Tribolium castaneum: one gene and its partner. The protein of the gene in region 1 binds, or shares a complex with, the protein of each later gene. Links are inferred from orthologs where the notes say so. Each region holds a gene or a part of one and is shown in the gene's direction. Other genes may lie near its edges.

Evidence for each region.
Region 2: the proteins of Vasa (region 1) and gus are in contact, whole or in part, in a crystal structure (PDB 2IHS), measured with the Drosophila melanogaster proteins. The link is inferred for Tribolium castaneum from reciprocal best matches to the Drosophila melanogaster genes vas and gus. Residues at the interface, in NP_001260458.1 of Drosophila melanogaster: Asp184, Ile185, Asn186, Asn187, Asn188, Asn189, Asn190, Val192, Glu193, Asp194, Val195, Glu196; in NP_001246140.1 of Drosophila melanogaster: Ser64, Leu65, Asn66, Arg79, His80, Pro81, Val82, Ala83, Ser85, Asp87, Gly112, Thr113, His127, Tyr131, Val218, Trp219, Gly220, His221.

What each region holds. Positions count from the first base shown.
Region 1 is NC_087396.1:9,643,305-9,647,632, forward strand, and holds the start of Vasa (vasa RNA helicase), read left to right. Parts: upstream 1-1,435; 5' UTR 1,436-1,516; intron 1,517-1,672; 5' UTR 1,673-1,689; coding exon 1,690-1,737; intron 1,738-1,790; coding exon 1,791-1,920; intron 1,921-1,974; coding exon 1,975-2,381; intron 2,382-4,328. UniProt on the Drosophila melanogaster protein: Involved in translational control mechanisms operating in early stages of oogenesis.
Region 2 is NC_087399.1:5,778,199-5,782,776, forward strand, and holds the start of gus (protein gustavus), read left to right. Parts: upstream 1-1,564; 5' UTR 1,565-1,595; coding exon 1,596-1,813; intron 1,814-4,578. UniProt on the Drosophila melanogaster protein: Involved in the localization of vas to the posterior pole of the oocyte. Required maternally in the germ line for efficient primordial germ cell formation.

The sequences.
Region 1 (4,328 bases):
TAAACCATTTTTACAAAAAGTGCGTACTTTCTTCAGAAAGCGGTTAATTTTTTTTATTAAACAAAATGGAGATGGTGGCGCATGGGCGTTTTGAAAATTTTACAAAATTGTGGCTAATTTATTCATTTGTGTGGGAGGTTCGAATCCTGGTCCTGACGAAATCAATTTTTGTTTTTGTTTTTAGTAAAATTTAACAACAAAACGCAAATTGAAATAGAAAAATAACGTTGATTTACTTCTACTGTTTTGTCAATAATATTAAAATTTACGTTAATTTTTATAATTCTAGTTCAGCGGTTCTCAAAATTTAGGACTTTAATTTCAGAATGACTTTTTTGGAATACTATACATTTTTGATTTACATAAATTTTGCCTAATCGATTTATCTTGCCATTCTCCATTTATTATTAAATTTTTTGTAAACCACTTCAACATCAAGAACGTCTTGTAAAATACGATGACAGATGTAGATTCCTTGTAAAAAATACCTCAAGAATGTCCTAGTTAAAAACGTCTAATACATTTGGTTTTCGCTTAAAAAATAAGAACAAAAATTTTAAAATTTTATAATTCAAAATGACATAAAATATAATTGTATTTTAGGTAATTGTTCAGCATGAAAATGCAACTGACCTCGTATCTCTTATAATAATTCAGATCCCCTTGGTGGAGCTCAAAAAAGGGACATCTTGTACAAATAGCTTTATTTTTTTGTTCTGCTGATTATTCAAAAAAATATATTTATAAAAAACAATTGCCGTTTATAAAATAAGTCAAGGACAAAAGGATAAAGCTTTTTATGTTTAATTGCCAAGATTTTTTCTATTTTACTTTTTTAAATTGCATTTTTTAAAACAATAAACAAAAAAATCGATGTTGTCATTTAAAAAATTATGAATGACGTCACAACTGAAAAACGAATGACGTCATAAATGTCACTATGAAGTTAAAATGTAACTTTTACATAATTAATTTGGCCTGTCCGATGATTTTCTTGAAGGAGGCTATATAACGTCCTTGCCAATAATAAAGATATGAATTTTGTGTGTAACTTTTGATTCAGTATGTATTATACTGATCACGTCTAGTTTTTTTCCTGTGCAAAAATGTATTAAGTACCGACCAGTTATAATTTTATATTGATCAAAATTTAATTGAATATTGATCGCTTTATCACTACCCTTACAAAAATACGTTTGGCTATGAATTTTCTGTGGGCAAATAAATTAATTGAACAGTTGAAAATAAACAGTTGAACGCATGATAGAAAGAATAAAATTAATAATAAATGAGTTTTTGGTAAAATTAGACTCCTACTTCAAAGGAAAGAAAAAAATAACAATGCAGTCCGGATAAATTTAAATGTTTAGTAACTTTTGTTTTCTTATATTGTCATATTTTACCGGCAAAATTCCAAGGCCACCAGACGTCTAGCGAGTCCATGCTTGTTGAAAAACTTGCAGTTGCAAGAGTGTCAAGATACTTAAATTTCTTTCGACCTTTATTTCGATCACAGGTAACAATTTACTCAATTAGTTTCGTTGATTTAAAGCACATTACTTTTATTTTTTGGTAAATAAAAGCAAACTACATCAAACTATTCGTTTATTTTTTGTGCTTATTCAGGTTTTTTTTGTGCTTTGTTCCTGAAGTGCATTTTTCATTGTTGCAGTTCAGTTTGTTCGAAAAATGTGCGACGACGATGATTGGGATACGCCGACGAGTTCAGCCCCTGCGGTAATGATATTTATCAAAATTGATCGAAAAATTTTTAATTGCTTTTGTAATAGTTTTCTGAGCAGAGGGGTGGCGTGATCTCCGAAGGGGGTTGCAAGTTCTCTTCAGGTCGTGGCTTTGTTCCAGCTGAGCGAAACGACGGCCCCTCGTTCGATTCATGGGGGGACAGCAGTAACGATAACGGTAGGTACTTGTTTAATTTTTTTTCCAAAAAGACATAACCTCATTTTCGCGTAGGCTACACAAACGGGCGAAAGCGAGATGATGGTGGTAACGAGTGGGGTGATTCCGGGGGTGGCGGTGGATTTTCTTGGGAAAACAACGACGATTCGGGCGGGGGCAGAGGCCGAGGGGGCCGCGGCGGCCGCGGGAGAGGGGGTGGCCGTGGCGGGTTTGACCGTGGAGGCCGCGGCGGAGGTCGAGGGGGCTTCCGCAATGATTTCGAAAATGGGGATAGGGGCGAACGTGGAGGTCGGGGCGGAGGCCGAGGAGGGGGGCGCGATGGCGATCGTGGAGATGGCGGGGGTGAAGAGAAGAAGAGGGAATTTTATATTCCACCTGAAGTCGAAAATGTTGAGGACTTGTTTACCAGTGGAATAACAACAGGAGTCAATTTTATGAAGTTGGACGAAATTGAAGTCAAGGTATTTCCTTGAAGGTTTTGTTTTTATACAGGTGTTTCACGCATTTTTACGAGGCATACATATTCTGATTCAAACTCGTTTACGAATTTTGAAAAAAAGGGTAGTTTTCTCTAGTTTGTTCATCACACTCATTCCGTTTCTTGATAGAACATAATTTGTTGCTGAAAAGAGCAATTTATGACCACTAATGAAACAGTAATTTGACAACTACACTATCGGACAAAAGTAAGGAAACATTTTGAAAAATATACAATCAATGGTATTTTGAATTTTAAGAGTGTGAATTTTAATTTATTTTACATTAAATGTTAAGGATAGTCTAATCGGTGTGAGAATAGATAGCCTATGCTATGGGTAATTATTATGAGATACTACAAGCTTAAAATATAAAAAAGCCCGATTTTAAACATTATTAAAAAATATTTTAAAATCAAATTTTATTTGATTCTACATGCATATGTCGTAGGCTAATAGTAAAATTAGGCGTATTATGAAAAGCCTAGTCTTATTGTAAACGACTGGGCAAATTGTACAGAATGAATAAATGTCGGTTTTTATAATGCGACTGAAAATTTTAGGCATATTATAAAACGCCTAACCAGTTTTCGTCTTATTGTAAAATACCAATGGTTCTTTAACAGTACGACTAAAACGAACCTAAATTATTTAGGCGTATTATAATGCACAAGTTAGTACTATTGAAATTTATGCTTTGAACATTAAATTTATATTATAAATTATCGTTTTAAAATGCTGGAAGACACAGAAAGCAATACCTTCATTAATAAAGGGTTGTATTATGAAGAAATACAAAAAAAATCCTGTGATAACTAATTAGTATAGAAAAAAAATAACCTTAAAATCAAAACACTACAAGATGAATTGATATTTGTGAAGCTGGTATTTCAGAGGGTGGTAGCCTGATAGCAGTGATAGTAGAACTCAAAATAAGTGAAAAAAACAACTTGTCTTGTCAGAATGTTTACTGTTCTTGAGATATAAATGGATTTTTGTCGACAAATAAATTTAAATTTGTGGTGCAATTTTACTATTGTTTTATTTATTAAACTACCTAACTACAATAGAAGGTGGAATTTTATAAAATGTTTGATAATTTCTTCCGTTCTTTTACAAAACGACTAAATGTCATCAGTCATTTTCTAAGTAGGCACCATGATTTATTCCCTGCATTTATTCATTCATTTTTAATTTGCCCAGGTGTTTATAATATAACTAGGCTTTTTATAATACGCCTGATTTTACTAGCCTACGACATACGTAACACTACACTACACTAAAGTTTACGTAAAAAGTCAATAATTTATGACATAGCCGTTATTAAGTATAATTTTTTGGCACCGTCTGGGCATTGAAGAAATTAGTTTATGAATAACATACTCAGCCAGATTTGACCACACTTCCTTGATTTTATCTATTAAAGATTGTTTGTTGGGAAATCTTTGTATTCGGATTCGACGCCCTACCTCTTCTCATAAGTTCTCAATTGGATTTAGGTCTGGTGACTGGACAAGCCATTACAAAACTTGAATATTATTTTGAAATCACTGACAAATGCGGAAGTGTGTTTGTGGTTGTTATCTTGTTGAAAGATAAAACGAAGGGGCATTTCCCATTCTTGAAGTATATCCCTATAGACGAAACGATCCATATTACCCTCAATAAAGCTCAACGGACCCACACCATTTCACGAAAAACACCCCTACAGAAAAATGCTACTACCATGTTTAAGGCGGCCCCCGAGAACTGTCAAAATGATGTGTTCATACTTTTATACATATTTCAAAAATAGACTACGGAGCAGTACCAAACAAAAAGCAAAATGAATAGAAATCAATTTCCCACAAAAGTGCACATTTTTTATTTAGTACTGAATCCGTTTTCTTGATCTGCTGATCTGAGACTTGGATGCCAAACGCAAGATACTGC
Region 2 (4,578 bases), on another chromosome or scaffold:
AAGCGTGCATGCATATTTCCAGTTTAATTCCTGCAAAGATTTTATTTGTGGTTATTTTCGGCGAAAAGTCTCGTGGTTTCGGTCAAATTTGTCCGAATTCCGATGTTTTACGAGGCAAATAAAAAATCTAGCGGTTCTTAAACTGGGGGAGCTTTTTTCACTCGGCCGTAATATTTTATTCATTCCGCCGAAAATCTGTTTTTTATGTTTTTATTATTAGGACTTTGCTGCGCGAAGATTATATTTTTCTTCTTTTATTCTTAGTTTATTGGCCGTAGACGAAAGGGGTTTACAACTCCAGACGGATTTTACTGCCACAATTTTCGTTTTCACTAACCAAAACTGTAATCGTTTCGTGAAAATTTTATCGAATCAACTTGGGAGTTTATACGTTAATTTTGCTTCCAGTCGGACGTAACAGATAATTCCGTAAGGTTTAAAATTATCATAACGAGTCGTCCTGCTGACATCCGGACGCAGGTTTTGCCGAGGAAATTATTCGCGTGGCTGTGGCGAGGTAGTTTTACTCGTAATTAGATTAAGATTAGCGAAGTACAGGATGTTCGAAGAAAACGACCAGTAAAATTGAATTTTTTGATAGTTTAATGGCCTCGACTTGTGCTATTGTCAATTCATTCTGTTTGATTGCTGGTAAACAAAAACTTTAATCTCTGATGTCATTCATAACCATTATCTCGGCTTCGACGTCAATTGACAAGAAAAAAGGTAAATAGATGGGTTGTAAACATCAACAAAACTAGCAAATAAAAACGGATACGTAGGGAAAGGAAAATTCAAGAGATTACAGTGGAGAAAGGATAATTCGCAGTTTTTTGATCCAGTTGTCCGGAAGGCAAATGGAAAGGTATAGACGAAGAAAATTAAAAAGCATAACGAGACTGTGGGAATTCAGGAAACGAAGAAACCCTGCGGTTTTACAGGGAACAGGAAGAATCTCACACACCTGTCGTAAAAATCATGTATTTATAGAAAAATAAAAATGTTTGGTGACGCGGAAAGAAAAAATTAACACCGATTCAAAAACAAACACAACAAGTAAATAGTTTCTGTTTACATTGAACAACTTTTCATATTTTCGACGTAAAAAGTCGGCAATAAAACGTCCGAAACGTTGCCAAATAAACAAAGTCGGTTTTTAATTCCTGCACCTACTCACACAAAAACTAAAAACCTCAACCAAGGTGTAGACCTTGAACTTGGCCATTCTCTATCGCCATGCCCAAAACCACCTCTCGAATTTCACACATTTTTCGTTTTTTCTCATCCGGCTTCCAAATTTGGAAAAAATGGTTCCATTCAAGTGTGACCTTTTGCGGCACCTAAACGTACAAATGCTCGAACTTTTGGTTGTTTTATTGAAAGCATATTTTTGAGTTTCGTCAATTCTGCAGAAATATAAGTTTGTCGGATATGGGGTGCGCCCGGCGCTCCGAATTCGAACCTTGGCGCTCCGAAATCCGGCGTTCTATTGGCTCAGAGGGTCCGCGCCTCCCTCTTCGAACCAATGGGGCTCCCGGTGCGGCTTCGGACCGTTTCTTGCCAAGGTTAGACTTCAGTGTTGGCGAGCAGCGGACATGATAACTTCTCCCCTGCTCGGACTCTGTTGGCTGCCTAATAACCGTGTGTTTAGTGTACAATCCGCTCACAATAAGATACTCGGACGTTTAGTGTGGAACCAACATCAGTGTTTTTTGACAATAGGACAAGCGCAATCTGTGACTCCGTATGTCGGATTTTGGAATAGTGTCGCTATTTTTCAACCATCATCACACCCCTTTAATATGGAAACAAGGTAATTCATAAAATATGTCGAGTAGACGAGGAGGGCGTCGCGACGCCCTGATTTCGGCGACGGCGAGATCGATTTCGTCGGTGGTGTTTTTTCGAAAGGGTGGTTTCCGGCAAGTGGACGAAAAATCACGGGTTCGGGGTGTGGATGTGTCAAAAAAGTGCCAAGGCTGAGAGATAGTGACCTGCTTTTAATAATGCAATAAAGCACTTTTCTTTTAAACAAAAGATCTGTAAACAGATTTCTACACAGATATATTATTATTTAAATCTTATGGTGTGCTCAAGGCTTCGCGCAAAATGCGACAAACAACTGGCAAAACTCGGACAAGTTGATAAAATTTTCTTTTGAAAAAATAATGATACATTTGGAGGAGTCTTTTTATTTATTTATTTTCTTTGTATTTTCCATTTTTGTGAATATATCGAGACACCCACCATTCTTTGCGCCCCACAATGGTACGGTTCCTGGGTACGTTTTGTGCCGGAGATGGGACCGTTCCTCCGTAGACAAGAGAAAAACACAAAAGAGATCAGCGTTCTTTTGTAGGTAGCTTTCGGCTTCCCAGGGTCGCGACTTTCACATATTTTATGGTAAACATACGATGAATGGGAACAGAAGGAATTTAATGGGAATCGGTCCCAACGGCTCTATTTACGAACGTGAGATGGGTCTAAATGTGCTTTTTATTTGGCTTTTATTCGTTCTCCGTTTAAAGTTTTTTGGGAAAGCCAACGAACGTCACCGTGTGGCGATTATCATTATCAAACTTCTCAGAATAATGAGTTACGTTTGCGGTCAGCACAAACTTGAAAAAATAAAACCGATTGCATGATGCGGTCTGGTTGTAATTTCTGGGGTTCATGGAAGTTAACGGACTCGGTTTAAACCGCGCAGAAGACGTTTGCGTTCTTTTTGCCAAGAAATTTGCGTGTTCGTGTTTACTTTTGGACCAAATGAATCAGATTCTGTGGGTATGGCATGTGGGTCGATGACTCATCCTGAAATTTTATCTAGGACTTCGGGGACGGTTCTTGGGTTTATTTCGGGTCTAGGGATCAGACGGCTGGAGGTAATTTGTTTAAATAAGTCGACCCTTGGATAATGGAGGGATCAGCTGTAAAAGTTTATGGGTGTTTTATGGCCGAAAGTTAAGTTGATGAGCTCTTCTTCTGGGAAGGTTTTGGGTCCGTTTGGGCAAGAATTTTCGACAAATTGGGTTTAAGAATGCTAATTTTGACTTGGGTATTTGCGACTCGACAGGTGACTGGAAATTTTTCGGATAGCCAGAAAGGTCAAGCAACGTCGGAAATTTCGAGGGACATTGAACCGAACTAAAATTTGTGCAGTTTGTGAAAAAAACAGTAATGACGCGTGGACCGTGTTTTTGGTAAAGGAGAAAAGTGATTTCGAATTGAAAACGATGTGTTTAATGAACATTTCACTTATAACGTAAAGTTGATGACTTATTCAATTACGGAACGCCTGTTATTGATAAAATTACAAGTCTAGAGGGCAGTGATCTTATCTAATCGGTGTAACTGTACCGTAATGTGATATGATAATTTCCTCGATAAAGTCAATAGAAAAATGCATGTAAATGAACTCGTGTTATTTTTTGAACAATTTATACCGGGCGATTTGTTTCCCTTCGTTGTCGTAAGTACAAATTTTTAATCATTTCTGTTTTAACTCTACGATCAAATCTCGTTTCCTTCTTTCATGAAAACAATTATTTTCCGGCTTGGTGCCCACACCCACCCCGTTGAAAAACTGCATCCTCATTCAGAATTTTTCCGCAATTTCCAACTCAATCACTGGAAACAATCGAGTCGGAGTTTTAGTTTCACCGTATTCGCTCTTTTCCCCATGTTTTAATCGCAATCAATTTTCCCATACGCACGTCCCCTCGGGGAGGACGTGTCCATCTCTCCTCGATTGTTTTCCAGTGCCGTCCTCGAAACAATGAACAATATTCGGAATTAAAAGCGATTGTTCGTGGTCGTTCTCTGTGTCGTTCGCCGGAAACGCCTGAAACCGCGACGGTTTCAGGACTTAGACGGAGCTATTCCAAAAGGAAATAAGAGAGACTTCTCTCGGCCACAAGGCGAACGAGGTATGTTTTCAGTCCCGACGGTATCTCGTCTTTTTATTATTTATTTTTTTTTATTTTTCGCCGCCGAGCGCGTGTTTTTTCCATTCTCTCGTGCCCCCCCCAGACATGCAGACACAAAGAACGACGCTGCGTTTTCGTATCCCATCGGATGCACAATGCGAAACAAGGGGACAATGACACAAAATTTGAGAAATTTAGAGAAAGCAAAAATAAAAACAAACAAAAACATACATATAAAAATATTTAGGTATAAGTAGAGTACAGTAGAGCTGAGGTGGGCAGTTGTAAGCGCACAACTTGGACAGCCCTGATCGCCCTGCAATCCGAGCGAATGACAGCTGACAAGGACACTCTCGCTCCGTCTTTTGTTTACACGTACTAGATGCTGATGACATCTGCGGCATGCGATTATCAAACTGATGTTGAGGCCAGTTGGTGAGGTCACGCACGCACGAGACTCTATAGATAAAGTATCGCGGAATATTACGCGTTTTTTTATTTTGCCGTGGCAGATGGTTATCTTGCCGTTCTTTGACACTACGTTTTTCGGTGGCAGGGGGTTATTGATGGTATCAAAAAAGCGCTTTTTTACAGACATCGAGTCGCTTGTAAATACCGTGAAAATCGACGAAATATTCACAGCTGACGCTCG